Pelodiscus sinensis: one gene and its partner. The protein of the gene in region 1 binds, or shares a complex with, the protein of each later gene. Links are inferred from orthologs where the notes say so. Each region holds a gene or a part of one and is shown in the gene's direction. Other genes may lie near its edges. The genes, in order: OGDH and TCAIM.

The links.
Region 2: the proteins of OGDH (region 1) and TCAIM are in contact, whole or in part, in a cryo-EM structure (PDB 8I0K), measured with the Homo sapiens proteins. The link is inferred for Pelodiscus sinensis from reciprocal best matches to the Homo sapiens genes OGDH and TCAIM. Residues at the interface, in NP_001425937.1 of Homo sapiens: Gly301, Tyr304, Arg323, Tyr354, Arg356, Ile358, Arg364, Asn365, Lys387, Glu391, Tyr394, Cys395, Gly396, Thr398, Glu399, Lys401, Lys402, Lys561, Met602, Pro605, Glu667, Gly668, Ile669, Asn709, Met734, Ala735, Ser736, Pro737, Asn738, Gln772; in NP_001269842.1 of Homo sapiens: Glu214, Gln234, Arg235, Ser236, Trp237, Gly238, His241, Ser244, His247, Ser248, Arg251, Gln255, Asp272, Arg273, Thr286, Met287, Asp288, Val289, His290, His291, Glu331, Leu332, Gln333, Pro334, Val335, Arg375, Tyr376, Glu441, Ser443, His473.

The regions. Positions count from the first base shown.
Region 1 is NC_134738.1:4,938,881-4,948,778, reverse strand, and holds the start of OGDH (2-oxoglutarate dehydrogenase complex component E1), read left to right. Parts: upstream 1-5,772; 5' UTR 5,773-5,892; coding exon 5,893-5,901; intron 5,902-7,385; coding exon 7,386-7,634; intron 7,635-9,898. UniProt on the Homo sapiens protein: 2-oxoglutarate dehydrogenase (E1o) component of the 2-oxoglutarate dehydrogenase complex (OGDHC). Participates in the first step, rate limiting for the overall conversion of 2-oxoglutarate to succinyl-CoA and CO(2) catalyzed by the whole OGDHC.
Region 2 is NC_134712.1:183,344,357-183,353,230, forward strand, and holds the start of TCAIM (T-cell activation inhibitor, mitochondrial), read left to right. Parts: upstream 1-4,542; 5' UTR 4,543-4,665; intron 4,666-4,829; exon of another isoform or gene 4,830-5,141; intron 5,142-8,874. UniProt on the Homo sapiens protein: May regulate T-cell apoptosis.

The DNA.
Region 1 (9,898 bases):
GGCCGCTCTCGCGGGGGTCCTGCCCCTCCCCCGGCGGGGTCGGTCCCGGGTCCCAAGCGCCTCGCGGGTCCAGCCCGTCTGGGTGCTGCCTGTAGCGGGGCCGGGGCCGCTCTGGCGGGGCGAGGGCTGTGCGTGCTGGGGCGGGGTGCGAGGTGTTCACGCTCCCGAGCCGCTTGGCTGGGCTGCAGTCTAGACCTGGCCTCAGTCATAGCCACAGTTTGCAGCGAGGGTTGGAAAAGGGGATTCGAATGGGGAAGATCCGATTTAATTGGCTCAGATCGCTGAACTGTGGCGTTGGCGTGAGAAGTATTCATACTAGGGATGTGCAAATCCACTTCAGTAATCCATGTAACTGCTGAAAACTTCAGCCATTGCATGGTTATAGGCAGCTCCAGGAGGGCCGGTATGCTCAAGGAGCCAACTAAAAGCAGCCCCCACCACCCCTCTGAAAGAGCGCAGTGTAGTGGGCTGTGTGGAATGGGTTTAAGCGCCAAACTGTTGTCTTCAGACTCTCAGGTGAGAGTGCTTGTGTGGAAGCAGGGAATGGGTAGAAGACAGGAAAATGTACCTCTGAGAGAATTGTGGGTTGATATTGCTAGACTGTCAGCATTGGAGTTAAATAGGAGCATGGGTTAACTCAGTGGTCTCCAACCTTTTTACACCCAAGATCACTTTTTAAGTCTCAGAACAGGAGAAGCTCTACTGCCCCGCCCCTTCCTTGAAGCCCCGCCTCCATTACATGTGGAAATCTAATGTAAATGTGCTGCGCAGGTGCGCAGTTCAGAGAGGGCTCAAGAGCTACTCTTAGAGCCCCTGGGATCTACCAGTAGCTCGCGATCTACTGGTTGGTGACCACGGGGTTAACTTGTAGTGTGAAGGCATATCCGGAGGCAAGCCGTCAGAAATGCCTTCCACAAAGATGGACATGTGGGGATGGCGGGGAGAATGGAACTTCCAGTAGTGTAAACAGAATAGCATATGCTTGCTTTGCCTTTTAATAAAGTTGAATCTTGCACATGGGCTGTATTTTTGCCTACACCTGCTATAGGATACAAGTGATCAGGAACCTCATTTAGACAGAATGTTCCGTGGAAAATTTTTCAATATTTTGAAGGGGGCTGAAGATTTTTTTGCTCCATTTTTACGTTCTTAGTCCTATGTGTAAATCTTCATGCCAGGAATCTTTCTGTTTCAAATAGGCACTATTGAACAGTTTAAGGTTAAACAAACTGATAATGTGTTTTGTAGCTTTGTTGAGAAACTGCTGTCCCTTCACGTCTGGATCAGTTTGTTTAGTGGAGTTGGGCTGAATGTGTGCGTCAGGATTTCAGTTATTGGAAACATGAATTAACTGACTTATTGCAAAAAAGTAGTTCATAATCATCTGATTTTAACTTTTTTTTAAACTCCAAATGAATTTTCAGCCCTCACTGAGCGGATGGAGAACTCTTTCCATTTCCTGTATGTTTTGATAGTGCTAGTTGTTACAGCTTCTGGTGGAACAGTTACAGAGATTTATTTTGTTTGAGGTGACCTTGAATAAGCACACACCTTCTTTAAAAATAAAATAACACTCTACAGCAGTAATGTTAAACATACTCAGATATGCTAGGCCCCTGGCAGCAAAAAAGGGCAAATAATAGTTCTTAAGACTTAAAAAAACCAAAAAAAAACCCACTACTTTAATCATTTGGTCACCTAAAGTAAGGGACCTGTGTTGTTAGTATTAAAAACTACATTTAGCAGTCTAATAGCATTTAACAAAATTAGCTAAACTCAGATAGTTCAAGACTTGTTTAGTTTATTACTTATGCTTATATGTGTAGGGTTCACTTCACCAGTTTAGCAGCCTAATTTTTCCTTTAATCAGACATTCATTCTCTTAATCCTCTGTTTGTTTGGCTTGGTCCTTGCTTAAGCAAAAAGTGATTCCCAGTCTGTCTTCTGTGACAAGTTTTATTGACTCTTCTGGCTGGTTTGAGGCCAAATTAAGTAGCTTAATCTACAGTGTTTAATGGTCTGTCTTTGTATAGTTTGAATACTGGGTTTATTCTGAATATTTGTAGTCACTGATCTTTCAGTGAAAACAACTAAAAACAGGGAATTGAGGAATTTCTGAGTTTGAGTCCAGCTTTAATGCTTCCTTGTCAACACAGCTGTACATGTGATCAATACATTTGAATACTGTTTTAGTTAAACTGGTTCAGCTTTGTATCTGAACTCTCATCGGTTTACTTTATATCGGCACATTTACAAGCATAGGCTAAATTAATGTATCTAAATATAAACCAATATGAGTCTCCCCAGACAGGCTGTAAGGTGTAACTAAACTGATTCATATTAAACCTGTGCAGCTTCTGAGTATAGACAAGCCAAAGCACTTTATTTGGAATTGGGCAGATCAGTTCTAAGCCAAAACTTTTAAAATATTTACCACTAATACTTTTTTGACACTTCATCTCTTAGGAGCCTAATAGTGGCTTGTGTACATAGGGTTATTCCTGAAAATCTCTACCCATCGACACTTACTTTGGAGCAAAAGTTCTCCGATCCCATTGAAAGTAGATTAAGCTAAACAGGAGCCAAGGCACTCTTGTTCCAAATAAAAGTGCCTATGCTTGGAGTTACTAAAAATAGCTATTGTTTTTCTGTCTCATTCAGGGAGACACTCAGAATCCCTATCAATCCTAAGATATGAAATCAACAGACTTGCATCCCAAAAGACTGAGTGTTTGTTTGCTTCTGTTTTGATGCAAAACCACTGGGAGTCTGTCGAGATCTGACAAGATGTTGGTTTACAGACTTAAGGAAAAGACTAACAGAAATAAGATCACTGGTATTTGTGATGGTAGCAGTAATTATACACAAGTCAGATGTTAATAAACACTTTTAACAATTGTATGCACAGCTGTAGCCCAAGAAGGAATCAATAAAAGATGCCCTATTTGTGAATTGTCTCTGTCACAGATCTGTTGGAAAGAGCTTTCTGATGTTCCTCTAGAAACTGGAGCAATAGCTTAGACTTCAAAAGAAATGAAGGTTGGAAAGACCAAATGAATTTTAACAAATGTTCTCTGAAACTTGAACACCTCTGTTCAGTGAAGCCATGGATGACCAAACTCTCCTACCTCCTCTAAGAGAATCTGTTCCTTCAGTTAGCCCTAAACCTGGGAAAGTCAATAGACTAATAGTTACTGGCCAGTTTTTTAGCCAGAGCATTTGCTATGGAATTGTGCAAAGGCCTCGCACACGCAACAAGCTTGTTACCCAGATGAGCGCTAATTAGAATGCTTAGACTCAACTTTTGCAGGTGTTGAGTTCTCAACAGTCATTGTTCTCAGCATCTTTGAAAGTCATGTCCCAAATGTCTCCAGTTGGACACCAGAATTAGATTACTCCATGAAAAGTTGGTCCATAAGCCTCTCTGAATGGTAACTACCAAGAGGTAGAATCCTAGTGATGACGAGGCAGTGGGTAGTTTTTTGTACAAGTTAGCAGGTTGATTTAAAGTGGGTAGTAGTGTACCGGAGGTTCCCTGATTCCCACAGCTTCCATTGGCCGGGAGCAGCAAACCACAGCCCCTGGGAGCTGTGAGTAGCATGCCTGCAGACACTCAGTAAGCAAACTGCCTTGCAGCCCCCAGCAGCTAACCCTGACCAGCCCGAACCGGAGGCTCCCCACTCCTGATTTAAGGGCTATGTTTTCGCTGCCAAAAAGGGGGTGGAGCAGCAGGTTAGGGTATGTTATCTTGCTGAAGGTAAGACACAGCCATAGACTTGGAGGGACCTTAGGGCTTTTACCTTGATGTACAAAGTCATGTGGGAAACTGCAGCATAGTTATCTTCTCCAGGATTTTACCACCTGTTAAGAACGTACCTTTTCCCTTAGTGAAGTCACAGTGTAGTGCTGTGAAGGGCTTTGAGTGCACAGCAAGGAAGGCACTATACTTCTCTACTCCAGATTGTCCCTCCTTGGTCTGGCACCCTGGAGATCTGACGGGTCCTGGACCAGGGGCAGTCAGTGCCGGCCCCTCTGCTGCCCTGGCTGCAGGGATCTGCTTGATGGCAGCAGAGGGGCTGGCATTGACTGAGCAGGGACTGGGTGGAGGGTGCTCGGCAGAAGAGACGGGGTGGCAGTGTAGCCTTCTCCTGGGCGTCTTGCCTCCTGTCCCCACTTTTCCAGCTCCGGAAGCTTTTGGGAGGACGGGAGGAACAGCTGAGCATTGGGCCTCAGCTTTTCCTCATGAGGGTTCCAGCCCAGGAGCACCCATGGGGATGTCAGGCCAGAGATGGTCTCCGGGTGAGGGAAATCCAGACTAGAGGTGCAGCCTGTAGCACTCCATTGAATTCTGGCCCAAAAGCACCATGGCAGCTCGGTGAGCAATGCAATAAAATTGTAGCTGGAAGAAAAGTGCTGTCCTAGTTAACCAGTTGCAACTCCCAGCCAGCAACTCTCAGCCAGTGCCTATTAAATAGGAAAGGGGGTAATGGAAAATGTTTCCAAGCTGGGTTTATGTAACCAAAGTTGTTTTCTTGCGGTTTTTGCTTATGAAGGAGGGTTGTGCCATCTTCACATGAGGTTGCTGGAGAAAATGTAACATTGAACCCCGTGATCCAGCTGCCAAACAGACCCTGCCAGTTCTCAGCTGGGGATAGGGGCTTTTTATGTCCACTTAGTGGGCTCTCACTGAACAAACTTGTTTGTGTTTTTAAGTAAATGTTTTGTAAACGAAAGGCCGAAACCCTCTCCCCAGCCAGTGTACCAATTCTGGAAGTAGCCTCCAGCTCACATGCCACTGTCCTAGGGCTTTTAAAAGAGACAAACTGCTGGGTATTGTATGGCCTGGTGACGGCTGCTCTGCTGACAGACTGATCCGTAAGTATTCTGTGTGTTATGACGGCATGTAGCTGCACCAATAGCTTGTGCACTGTCACTGACATTTCTTTTTGTTTTTAAAGGGGAGTCAGTGTTCATCTCAAGGACTAGATTTGAAATGTTAATAGGAATAGCTGGGAAGGGGAGCAGAGGTGTAAGGGCCAGATTTTCAGATGTTCCACTTCCATTGGAAAATTTTCCTTTTTTTAAATAGGAAAAAACAACTAAAAAGCACAGGAATTGGCAGAAGGACAAGAAATTATTTGAAGCTTTTTTTTAATTGACTCAATTACAGTACAGGCAGTCCCCGGGTTACGTACAAGATCGGGACTGTAGGTTTGCTCTTAAGTTGAATTTGTATGTAAGTTGGAACTGGTACATATTGTAGGGGAAACTCTAGCCAAACATTTCTCCAGAGCTCAGTTTTATTCTCCCACACCTCACTTCCCTCAGTCCTTTATTCTCAAGCTGAGGTGTCTGCTGAGAAAAGCCGCTCCGCGTCTCCCTGGTCTGCTGGGGGGGGGCGCTAGCTTCGCGTCTCCCTGGTCTGCTGGGGGGAAGCAGCTAGTGCGGGGTTGCCTCACCCCGTTTGTAAGTAGGGATCCGATGCAAGTCGGATCCATGTAACCTGGGGACTGCCTGTACTGTCTCAGCCGAATAAACAGGCATTAGCCATAAGATAGCTTTAGGAGTCTGATTCACTAAGGCTAGGTCTTCACTGCAAAAACCTTGCATTAGTTTTGAGATAGTTGTCTTGCTGTAAGTTCTTAGTGGAGACAAGGTATGGGGAACTTTTACAGCAAGGTGGCTACTTGTGGTCTCCTTCATCTGTCTGCAGTAAGGTACTTTTGGTTTGTGTCCACAGGGATTTAGCATTGAGATGGTCAGATGTCACCTATTTTTTTTCCAGTGAAGACATAGCCTCGGAATCCCAGCCCTCCACTCTTTAAAGGGAAATAGGGCCTTTCCTGGAACCCGCGTCTCTCGCGTTTAGTTGGACAGCAAATCCAAGAAGATATGCTTCTTGTATGTTACGTTTTAATTTTGCATAATAGCTGATAATTTTACTCTGATGGCTTAATGACCTCTTCCTAGTGCACTAGGAGGAATGGCGCACATGTTGTAAAATGCCTGCATATGTTGCGCTGCACGCAAGGGCAACTCTTTCCCTGCCCCGCGTGTTTGGGAGTGAGCAATGTGGACACTAAGAGAACTGCAGGGAGGTGGGAATGGGAACAAAGTTCAGCAGAAGTGCTGCTGAGTGGCAGTCTCAGCATTTTGCCTCCACTGCTTCCAGTGAGTTGCAATTACGCTCTCTTGGGGTGCCTTCCCTGTCAGTAAATCCATTTTCCCAACATCCCCTTTGCTTTTAATCATTCCTACCTCTCCTCTAGCTTTGCTTCTGATGCTCTTTGTCCGCAGCCTACTGACCAGCTTTCTCTGATCACATTTACAGCCTAGTGTTCCCTCCTTTATTCCTGTGCCCCAAGAGGTATAAATGATCAGACCTTTCTCATTTTATCAGCGGTTGTCAGAAAAACGAACATCTGTTCACAATGGAGTACTGCTTGATAAATGTAAAGCTTACAAGTTGATATATTAAACTTCAGTTTTAGGTGATGTAAACTGAAAGCAAAATAGGGGAGAAAAAGTTGCTGTTAGGGTTGGATTTCACTTTCTGCTTTAGTTCCCTACTCCCCAGCCAATTGCAGCCAGTCAGTATGGGAAGGGATGTTAGTGTGTAATCATTTAAATGATTTGATTGATTGATAAGCCTGGTCTTATCTGTTAATTCTAATGACCAGGGCTCGACAAATAATACAATCTACTTGCCTGTGGCGAGTAGATGGTAACCCGGAAGAGCTGGGTTCGGGCGTTCTGCGCATGCGCAGATCGCTGGACAGCGCAGCTGGTGAGCTGGGCTCGCCGCGGTTTGGTGAGCCCTGCTGATGACTACATGCCCCTCGCCCCCAGGTTGCTGGTGGCTCCCCCCATGTATTGGCTCCCCCAGAACTGCCTGGGGTAGGCAGGAGAGAGTGCTTCTCCCCCCGTCTACCCCACATGTAAATGTGTAACAATTAAAAAAAATCCAGTGGTTACATGTTTACGCACGTGTTTGTTAACATCCCTATTGGGGAGTGGAGGGGATTAACCCAAAGGGATACTAGTCCATATCTTAATTCAGTAGTTGTGCAGTGCCAATACCCATACTAAGCTATTGGTTTCAAGTAGCCAAATGAGAAATCTGACTGGAGGAGGGGCAGCGTGGCCTCCTGGATGGAGCGTTGCTCTAGGACATGGGAAACCTGTTACTGGCTCCGCTCTGCTGAGTGACTCTGATTCCAGTCTCAATCTCCATTTTACAGATGGGGAAACAATGTTTGAGAAGGGCTTTGAGATCTGTGGATGAGAAATGCTAAGTAACAGCTAGATGGTTATTGGGTTGATTTCTCTTTGTAAATTGCAAAACAGTTCAATGTCTAAAATGCTTCTTATTCCTATACCAACAGGAGCTTGTGAGCGGCTACAGGACAAAAATGTTTCACTTAAGGACTTGTGCTGCTAAATTGAGGCCGTTGACGGCCTCACAGACTGTTAAGACAATTTCCCAACACAAGCCAGCAGCACCAAGGACGTTCCAGCAAATCAGGTGTTACAGTGCGCCTGTGGCTGCTGAGCCGTTTCTGAGTGGGACTAGTTCGAACTATGTGGAGGAAATGTACTATGCGTGGCTGGAAAATCCCAAAAGTGTACATAAGGTAAGGAGGAGCCATTCGTCCAGGATATTGTTCCTTCATCTCCTGCATGTGTGTGAGAGAGAGTCCAATGGCACAGTCAGGTAAGTGCAGATGTCCGGAAGGAATTCAGCGCAAAGAGCCTGGGAATCACGAATCATCAGTTCCACGTCCGCTTCTGTGGAAAGAACCAACAGTGTTTAATTGAGCAATAGCAAAACAATTCGATCCTGCTTCGTTCTGGATTGAATCCGAGAAGCTCAGAGCATTCAGTCAACTCGGCATGTTCTGCTTTGGGAATCAAAGGTGGATTCAAAGAGAAGAGCTGCCTTTCCTGGGAATCCCCCTCTTGCTGAGCTGCTGCTTTTCCTTTCTGATGGAGTGTTGGGAGAGCAGGGAGGAGGGAATTGGGTTCAAGTTCTGTGCATTCCACTATTAATGTGGGATGCAAATTGTGCTCAGCGCGGCAGTGTTTGATCTCCTGTGAGTAAGTATGCTGGCTCTGCTGCAGAGTCGTTCTTCCAACACCACTTGGGTGGCAGAAATGTGGGTATAAAATCCTCTGCTGTGGTTAGCAGAGCTCTTTCTACCAGCCATTCCTTAACTTTTCCTCAAGCTACTAACTTCAGAAGATAATTATTCTAAGGGTTACAAGTGTAAAATTCTAGTGAGCTTTAGTCTATCCAGAGCTGGTATCCGATAGCATACCACCTTGAAATCTGTCACTAACATGCATGTGTTGGGTTAATGGCCATCACACACAATCACTTTGGCCATGGTCCGTGGTAGATTAAGTTTACAAGTTTCAGTACAGTATTCAACCCTATACAAACGCGTGCAGCTCTGTTTAGCATAATTGTCTCATAAATCCCTCTTAGCGGGGCTGAATTTGGACCACAGGAAGTAGTCTGTTGGCTAGTAATTGCCAGGAGCCATTACCAAGCAAAGTGTCACTGGAAGTCTGAGGAGTAACTGTATGAAGTTAATAATAGACATTGAACTAGCTCTGCTATTGCTGTACACTAGACAGTCTTACAGTTAGAGGGTGAAATTAAAAACCTCCACTAGGAAGGAATGCTTGGTGGGGCCAGGAGGTGATCTTCAGCCTCATGTCTAAGGGAAGCTTGCGGAATTGTAGACTTAGCTGCTTTCCCGTCTCATCTCTGGGCAAGCTTTGGAGAGGCTATGAACTGAGACCTTGCACTGTGTGTAGAGAACAGGATTTCTGAAAATGTCCTGCTTCGGACACCTGCAGAGAGAGTTCTACATAATTCAGATCCCCCAGTGCTATGGGAACTTGTATAGATTGCGCTGTGTGACCTGAGGTGCAAAGTAACAGAACAGGACTTCAATTCCTGGTCAGCATACTGTAACCCCAGAACAGACGTCCTGCAGACCAGAACTCACTCACTCTGTTCTCTTTTTCATAACTGTGCTTTTGATAGCACATCTGCCCTCCCCAGACATGCATGTCATGCTAAATACCTGTGACATTCTAGGAGTGGTCTCATGCAGCCAGACTACATAGCACTATCTGTCTTTGAGATGATCCTTAGCAGAAGAGCTCTAGGATGGATGGAAAGTCAAATTTTGTAAATAAATAAAAGGGGGGTTTGTGTGGTTTTTTGTTTTTTTGTTTTTGTTTTCACAAGGGGTGTTTTTCCTAGTGTTGTGGGGGTGGGGCATCAAAATACACAACTGGTCCCCATCAAGGCCTTTTGTGTTTAATTATTGACATACAAAGCACTTCACTCAAAGAACAAAACTAGGTGAGTTTGATTTATGTGCATTTGGCACTAGAATCATAGAATACTAGGACTAGAAGGGACCTCGAGAGGTCATCGAGTCCAGTTCCCTGCCCTCATGGCAGGACCCAGTACTGTCTAGACCATCCCTGATAGACATTTATCTAACCTGCTCTTAAATATCTCTGGAGATGGAGATTCCGCAACCACCCCAGGCAATTTATTCCAATGCTTGATCACCCTGACAGGAACTTTTTCCTAATGTCCAACTGTGACGAGGCGGACAGGCCCCGCACTGATGGACAAGGGGTAGTCAAGGCCCAGCTGGTGGAGAAAGCCCCGCCCCTCCAGCCCTGCTGGGCATGTTTCCAGTAGAGGCTGGGTATAAAAGCAGAGGGAGCCCTGCAGCCAAGGACACCGCAGGATGAGGGAGTAGACCAGGCCAGGCCGGTGTTTCTGCAGCAGCTGAGACCAGAGGTGCTGCCCGTGCCTGACCCAGAGACAGAGCCAGCAGCTGCCATCACCAGGGAGGCAAGAGCATGC
Region 2 (8,874 bases), on another chromosome or scaffold:
TGGAAGATGCAGAGCAACGGCCAAAGACAGTGGGAATAAAATAGCATTGAATGGTCATGAAATTTCAGAAACAGAGGGAACTCTATACACAATAGCTCAACTATCTCAATCCTCCCCCATCATAGGTTGTTGCTAAAGTTAGTTCCCTTATGTTAGATATCCCCTTGCATTTTAATTGGGCACATTATGGATAGGACTTTCTAGAATAATGCCTTTTTCACTGCTTGATAACTTTTGAACTAATAAAGTACTCAGAGGCAATGTTCCCTCTAATTTTTTCCATGCATGTTCAGAATAAATGTTATATGCACCAACACATGTTCAAATGTGCACCAGCAGGAGAAACACAAACCCAGCTGTAAGTGCTCTGCTAATGAGCAGGGTGGCATTGGAATCTCTGCTGAGTGGGCACACAAGTGCACACTTACAAGGAACACTGGAATATGGCACCTCTGAGCAGACACACTTCTCTTAATACAGATGAATGATCCCTTTTAATTCCCAACCAATCTTGTTCAGTGAGGTTAATGATCTTTGGCCTCTCTATGGTCATAAACAGGGCTCGCCGAAGTGCGGCAAGCCCTGCTTGCCAGCCGCGCTGTCCGGCGATCTGCACATGCACAGATCACCCGAACCCAGCTCTTCTGGGTTGCAATCTACTCGTCATGGGTGAGTAGTTTGCATTATTTGTAGAACCCTGGTCATAAATATTTTTTAGATGGGACACAGTGTTATACTTGTGTAATAGAACTAGCATAATCTTAGGGGGATAAGGCAATATGTTGAGTTTATTGTGGAGGCATAATTAATTTATTATCCATAGCTACTAAAATTATTCATCACACACACAGTTCTACAGATGGGATATAATTACCAGTCTCAGTTGCTCATATTATGCCATTGGCCAAGTGGTCTAGACCAGTGTTTTTCAACTAGTGGTTCAAGTACCTTCAGGGGTACTCAAGAGAAGTCTGGGAGGTACATCAACACAACTGAAATGTGAAGAAAACTGAATTTTTGTTCTAAGTTTTACAGTGTTTTATTATTTTTCTACTTTTTACACCCAAAAATTTCATCACCCACCTGACTACAATTAAGTTGTTTAAACAAATGAGTTGTAATGGTAGAAAAAATTGTGTGTGTCTGAAAACTGTAGGTACTGGGGGTACTTATATATATTTTTATTTTATTTTATTTTGAAAAGGGGTACTTTATTAAAAAAGGTTGAGAAATACTGGCCTAGACATCAGGAGGCAAGCCAGGTCGTGTCAGTGTGCACTGATGCTTCTAGAGGATGATTATAGAACTGAATGACCCAATTCTGGTTTTGCACCCACCGTTATATATTTTAGTCCATAAAGCCTGTCCTGTCCCACTGCCTCAGGACACTGTGGCTATGTCTACACTCGTGGCTTCTTGCACGAGAAATATACAAATGAGGCTAAGCGTGGAATATTGCCGAGCCTCATTTGCATACCTAATGAGCTGCCATTTTTGCAGAAGAGGCTCTTGCGCCAGAAGGAGCTGTCTACACTGCTCCTTCTTGCGCAACTAAAACCCTCTTGCACAATGCCGTTCTTCCTGAAAAGTAATCAGCATAATGGCATTGCGCAAGAGGGTTTTTGTTGCGCAAGAAGGGGCAGTGTAGACAGCTCCTTCTGACGCAAGAGTCTCTTCTGCAAAAATGGTGACTTATTAGGTATGCAAATGAGGCTTGGCGATAGTCTATGCTTAGCCTCATTGGCATATTTCTGGCCCAAGAAGCCACGAATGTAGACAGAGCCTGTGGACATGTCTACACTAGGAAATTATTTTGAAATAGCTAAATTTGAAATAATTCTCAAAATAACTCTTTTGAAATAAGCTTTTTCCCCAAGGAAAGCAGGAGTACAGATTTCAAAATAACCAGCCTATTTCAAAATAACAGGGTTGGTAGTGTGGACACTCCGCTTATTTCAAAATAACTCCCTAGTGTCGCCCAGAGCTGTATGACCATGAGTTATCAGTTGATGGCAGATGGGACATTGTCATTTCTTGATGAGGCTTTTGCCTTTTTTTTTTTTGTTCTTTTGCAGGGCCTGCCTGCATTATTCTTTGGCCCTGAGAGTGGTGCTAGCATCTGGTCATCTAGACATGCTGGCTTCTGGGACTGATTCCTTTACACGCACCCACATTCACACTTTTACAGATACACACACCTAACTTTAAACAGTGGTAAGGCAGTACAAAGTTTTAAATTGGATTTATTACAATATATAAAAAAGTTACAGTTACAGATTCTCCAAAGGCCATTCTCAACAGGTTACTAACAAATTAATCCAAATCCTATTAATAAAACTTGGGCTGCAATTCATGAGGTTACATAATCTCACATTGGTAGATATAATTTATTAAAAGGACGATTTCATTTTTCAGCCCCAAACAGGACATACTCCACTTTCCCTCTATGTGCTGTTCTCTTTTAAAAGGCTAGATTTTTATGGAGTAGTAGATGGATCTGAAATTTCTTAGCTAATATAAAGAGACACATGGTGTGGAAGTTAGTAATCAGGACATGCAAATGCATGTATTTAACTGGCAGGGAAGGCTGCAATTTTATTAATTTAATGTCTCTTTGAAGTATTATCTGTTCTCCTTCCCAAATTCTCATGTATTAGCTATTTGAACAGATTTAAAGTGGGAGGTTACAGAGTTCCCACAATATAGCCTCTCGGCCTACTCCAAGGATTTAAGTCACTCCAAAATCCTCTCACCCTCGAGTGTCCTCTCCAGTTGAACTACTGGATTCAGATTGCTTCAGTGCTGGAGCTTAGCTGTGATCAACATGCTAACTTGGCCACCGTCCAGTGTAACCAATGTGCTAGCGTGTTACAATTCCAGAGAACTAGCCTTGTTTGGAATGTCACAAAGAGGACCCTAGCAACCCTTCCATTCTAGGGATAGGAAGATCTAACCAGTTAACCTTCAAGCCTCACCCAAGGCTGAAGCAGCTTACTGCTGCAGATACAGGGCTGTTTCAGGTGTTGCTCCGGTGTCCCAGTCAGACTAGCTCTTGTCTGTGAGGCACCCTGGCCTGTCACAGACAGAGCTTTTGTCCACAGTGGGCCTGGATGCACCGCAGTCAGGGGGCTGGTCCAGGATCCTGGCCAGTACAGCCCCTGCCTGCAACGGGGTGGGAGAGAAAGGGAGGGAAGGAGTAGGGGGGGAGCACAGCAGAGTCTGCTCTGGCTGGGAGGGAAGGAGGCATTCCAGCTCAGCAGCAAGGGGGAGCATGTCCCTTATTCACCCCCTTTTAATTGGTTAACAAGTTAAACAATATGTTTAACCAGTCTGGGACTATAACAGGATTTTACATCCCTAGGACAAGCAGCTTTATAACAGTTTGGTTTCTAGCACGCTATTGCCTAAGGTCTCTAGGACTCAGAATTCTGATGCTGAGGATGTCACTGCACTATTGCTTGATTGATTACTCCTTGCATTTCCCATATTTCTCTTTGATGATAGTAGTGATTTCTCATTTTAGGAATTTTACTTTCTTGTCCTACATGCATTTAGAATGAGAAATTCTAGATAACTAGCAGCAGTGATTTAAACTCAGATTTTCAGAATGTAAATCTAGGCCAGATTTTTCTATCATCTTGCTTCTATATGCAATTATACATTTCTGTAAAGTGGATGTAAAATGCTAACATTCAAAATTACAAGATGGAAGGCAATATATCAAGAACATAGGTAACACTAGGCTTGGAAATACTATATCAGGGCTACTCAACTTTGGAAGCCCCAGGGACCTCAATGATACAGCACATGCTGAAGGCTGCAACTTAAGTGTACTTGCATGCAAATATATGCAAATCACTTTTCACACTGACAGATGAATACAAAGCACTTTCCATAATTCCCCAGCGCTCCCAGCACCTCCTCCCTGGGGAAGGGGGGGCTAGAAATGCCAACACCCTGTACCCGTCTCTTCCAGCCAGCCCCTCCGCTTGCATCTTTCAATGCTCAACCTGCCTGGGAGATGCCTCGCCATTGTTACAGATCAGCCAAGAAAAATGCTATTAGAGATTTAAACATATTTACTTTGTACAGATATACCTGTGGTGACATTTTAATGGTTAAGTTTCAAGTTTTTTTAATTTTAGCCATGTCTTTAAATACTTTGACCCTCTCCCTAGTTTCCCACAACTAAAAATTTAAATGGATTAAAATATTAAATTTTAAAAATCCATCAAAATTACCAAAATAAATTTGCCAATCCTAGGTAATAGTTATGGGCTTTATTGAGTGCCTATTACTACTGCATACAATTATATTTCGGTCCTTCACACTGAATCCCAAACACCGCTGTCGGCTATGCAAAGTGCTCAGTAACCTCTGGTTTGAAATGCTGAGACGTGCGTTTGGCTCACTAGGGCTATGGCAGCGCCTGGCAATTTCGGGGCTGACTTAAAAGGAACACAATGTGTCCCATTCGCTTGCGCGTCAACAAACAGCAACTGCTTGGGAATTGCGTTCCCCGGCAGCGCACAGTCTCGGCGAGAGAAAGCAGCGCGGGGCAGGAGGCGTTGCCAGGCCCCCGCTCCTCAAGCCCCGCAGAAGCTGCGGCAGCAGCAGGAGCGCGAGTCCCAGCCCGCGTTGCACACGCGCTGCCTTGCTCGGCAGGTAGACGCCGGCCCCTTCCGCGTGGCCCAAATCACGCGCGCTGCGCGGGGAGGAAGCCGTTCGCCAGCCTGAGCCGGGCCGCGCACCCTGGGCTTCTACGTTCTGCCGCCGCGAAACGACCTCGCTGGCGCGGGGACACGGCTGTCACGCATGCGCGGCTGCTTTGACGGTGCGGTGGGAAGTTGCGCGAGTGCGCGCGCTCCTTCTCCCTCGCGCTCGCGTGCGAGGAGGAGCGCAAGATGACGTGGCTGCACCGCGGCGCTCGAAGACGGGTCATTGCGCGAGCCGGAGGCGCCTGTTCGGGAGGTGGGAAAGTGACGGCGACGAGACCCCGCCCCTCAGGCAGCTCCTCCTCCACCCTCTCAAGTGGGGTGTCCCTGTGCCACCTTCCCCCCCTCTAACCCTCCCCCCTCGCGCGCCGCCATGGGGACCGAGCCCCGGCAGGCAGGGGGAGGGGCTGCTGTCCCGACCCTGAGGTAAGGGGCGGGGCTGTGAGTTGTGACGCGGCCTGGCGGCAGGTGCTTGTGACCCTGCCTCGCTCGGGGGAGCACTCGCGCCCCAGCTGCCGGCGGGACCATCCTTGGCCGGGAGCTGGCGGTTGAACGCGCTGACGGGCCGCGACGGGGACCGGCTTCCACGTGACGCGTTCAAAACTTCCCGCGGGATCTCGCTGCTGCTGCTGCTGCCGCCGTGAGGGGGGGGGGCGGCGGCGCATGGAGCCCCCGCCGCTTGCTGAGGCGGCCCTTTGCGCGGGGTCCGGGTTGTAGTCGCGGTGTTGTGCGGGGCCTGCCCGCAGAGAGGCTGGGGCTAGAACACGTAGTAGCCCCCTGGGAGGGCTAAGCTGTGTCTGGCGCCCTTCGCGGGTCTTGGGTTCTCTGGCCTGGCCGGGCTCTGAATACAGACCCTCCCTCTGGCTGAAACAAAACCAGGACTATGCAGCACTTTAAAGACTAACAAGATGGTTTATTAGATGATGAGCTTTCGTGGGCCAGACCCACTTCCTCAGATCAAATGGTGGAAGAAAATTGTCACAACCATATATACCAAAGGATACAATTAAAAAAAACGAACACATCTGAAATTTGATTTGTCCTTTTCATAACAGAAGAGGGATGGGGGGGGGGGAAGGTCTGTGGGCTAATGATATTAGAGGTGATAATTGGGGAAGCTATCTTTGTAATGGGTAAGGTAATTAGATTGTTTATTCAGACTCACGTGTAAAGTGTTGAATTTAAGCATGAATAACAGTTCAGAGGATTTTCTTTCAAGTGCAGTCTTAAAAGGCTTTTGAAGCAGGATGCCTCTGGCTGTAATACTTGGGGTTGGTGCTGAGGGGTGTTGGTGGCCTGTGTTATACAAGAGGTCAGGCTGGGTGGTGCCCTCTGTCCTTAAACCCTGTGGATGGTCAAGAGTCGGAAGACACTTGGCCTGTGCTGTGTTTTGGAGACCTCTCCCCTATTAGGTGTGTGCAAGCCATCAATGAACGTGCATCCTGTCCATCGGGAAGCCAGTCTAAAACTCTTCCTGTCCTGCCTCAAACAAGAGGTTTTGATTTGGAGCTGCTGTAAGATTGAGTGCATCTCAGATCTATCACATAATACAGTAAAAACTTAAAAACCAACAGATAGTTCTTCAGCACCTTGGAGACTAACAAAATGTAGATGGTATCATGAGCTTTCATGGGCACACCCCACTTCTTCAGATTAATGGAGTAAGGGGTTCAGGGTACAAAAATACATACAGTAAGCCTACCAGGTGTCTGAGGCAGCAAATGTTTAGTCACTTGTTAATGTAGATTTCAACATGGTGTATTTTACATTTTCCTATTGACAAATCAGCCCAGATTCATTCTCTCTTGCATAGAGCTAAAGATTCACATTTTAGATTTCAAACCGTTTTTTCAGTCTGGAGATAGAATTTGCTGGGTGTTTCACGAGATACTTTTAAAATGTACTCACATCTTTTTGAATGTTTTGTATTTTATACTGCACTGAATTTCCCTTAAGCAGAAAAAAGTAACACAACCAGTTCTAGTGTTGTGTTCTAACCATGGGTGTGGCTGAACACCCAGCAGGGGAAGGCAAATCCCAGCCCCATCCCATCTGCCTAAGGCTCCTTTCCCATCTTCCCCCCTCCCCACAAACTGGATCCAAGACTCCTTAGTCTCACCATCCCAGCAGTGCTGCAGTCCCAGCCCTCCTGTGTGTTGGGCACATGGGCAGTTTTGGGAAAACAACATCTTTCCTTGCCTACATTACCCGCCACTCAGGGCTCTAAACTGTGTTGTAGTTAAAATGCTTATATGAATGCTCATATGAATGTTTGTTTAGTTCATTCTGTATACATTCTTGTTGAAGTAACCATGTAGCAATCTGGCAAATTAGGGAAATCCACCCACCCTATGCTGCTGCCTCTGTTTTACATGATTACTTAACTAAACACATTTTAACATCCCTAGTTTAAGCTTCTTCAGCTTCTGCCTGTTCATTCCTACTAACATTGATATATAGTAAACTGCTGAACATTCCAGACAGCAGCTGCTGGGAAATGCTCTCAATAATCAAGTGCTCAGTTAATGTGAGGAACAATACTGACTACTTACACACTGCAGCTTCCCTTGAGTGGGGACTGCCAGTTATAGTGAACTACTTTGTGCCTTACCAAAGGAAAAAGGAGGCTATATCGGGGTAGGCAAAAGCCTTTCAGCAGGCCAAACCTAGGGCTTTGATCTGGCCTGCAGGGCAGTTCCAGGCCACAACCCCTAGCAGGTTGCTTCGGAGCAGGAGAGGGGTGCAAACCTGTCTAACTGCTTCTATTTAAAGGGTTTGTGTCTTCCTCACACCTTGCCTAGCAGCTGCAAGGAAGGCACAAGCCCTTTCAATAGAAACAGTTGAAAGGGCTTGCATCTCTGTCTCCCTAGCAACGTGCTAGAAGCATGGGGAGCTGCAAGCCCTTTCAAGCGCTTCTATTTAAAGAGGTGGCACCTTCCCTGTGCCTGTCAGGCAGCATGTTGCCTAGTAGCCGTGGGAACAGGAGAGCCCTTTAAATAGAAACAGATGAAACTGCATGGAACTCCACTCACCTCTAGCACGTTTGCCAGAGATGCCTGATCCCTTTCAGCTGTTTCTATTTTAAGGGCTCTCTTGTTCCCACAGCTGCTAGGCAATGCTGCCTGAAAAGTGCAATGAAGGCACAGGCACAAGCCCTTTAAAAGAGCTTGTGTCTCTTTCTTCGGAGCAATGCATTAGAGGCATGGGGAGCTGTGAGCTCTTTTAAGCGCTTCTATTTAAAGAGCTGGTGCCTTCCCTGGGCCCTACAGGCAGCTTGCTTAGCAGCTGTGCAGAACACTGGAGCCCTTTAAATAGAAACAGCTGAAAGGGATTGCTCATCTCTGGCAACATGTTAGAGGCATGGGAAGCTGCCAGCCCTTTCAGCTGTTTCTATTTAAAGGGCTCTTGTGTTCCCACAACTGCAAGGCAATGCATTGCCTGACAGGACCAGGCAAGGTACCAGCCCTTTAAATAGAAGCACTTAAAAGGGCTTGCAGCTCCCGGTGCCTCTAGAGTGTTGCTAGCAAGCCAGAGATTCACCTGCTGCGTGGCTGCATTTCCTAGCAGCTACCCAGCAGGTGCAAGCCCTTTAAACAGAAGCAATAAAAAGAGCTCACTGCTATGCCCCAATGGCCTGTTGCCTAAGAGCTGCCCAGAGACATGAGCCCTTTCAACTGTTTCTATTCAAAGGGCTTCTGCCTGCCGGGCAGCTGCCAGACAACAGGGCTATGTCTACACTTGAGGTTTCTTGTGCAAGTATGGCCATTCTCGCGCAAGAATCCGCAGAGCATCTGCACTGCCCACTCACTCTTGCGCAAGGAAATTTACATTACGGCATGGTAAGAGAGGGCTTCTTGAGCAAGAGCTATGCTCTTTAACAGGTGCAAGCCCTCTTGCACAGGAACTCTTGCGCAAGAGGGCAATGTGTACACTCGGCAGGGATTTCTTGCGCAAGAAAGCCCTATGGCTAAAATGGCCGTCGGAGCTTTCTTTCGCAAGAGAGCGTCCACACTGCCATGGGAGCTCTTGCGCAAAAGCACAGCGTGCACATGGCAGTGTGGATGTTTTCTTGCGCAAGACTTCTTGCGCAAGAAGCCATGAGTGTAGACATAGCCCAGGTTAGCAGTGGGGACCAGGAGCTGTGAGCCCTGTTGTATGA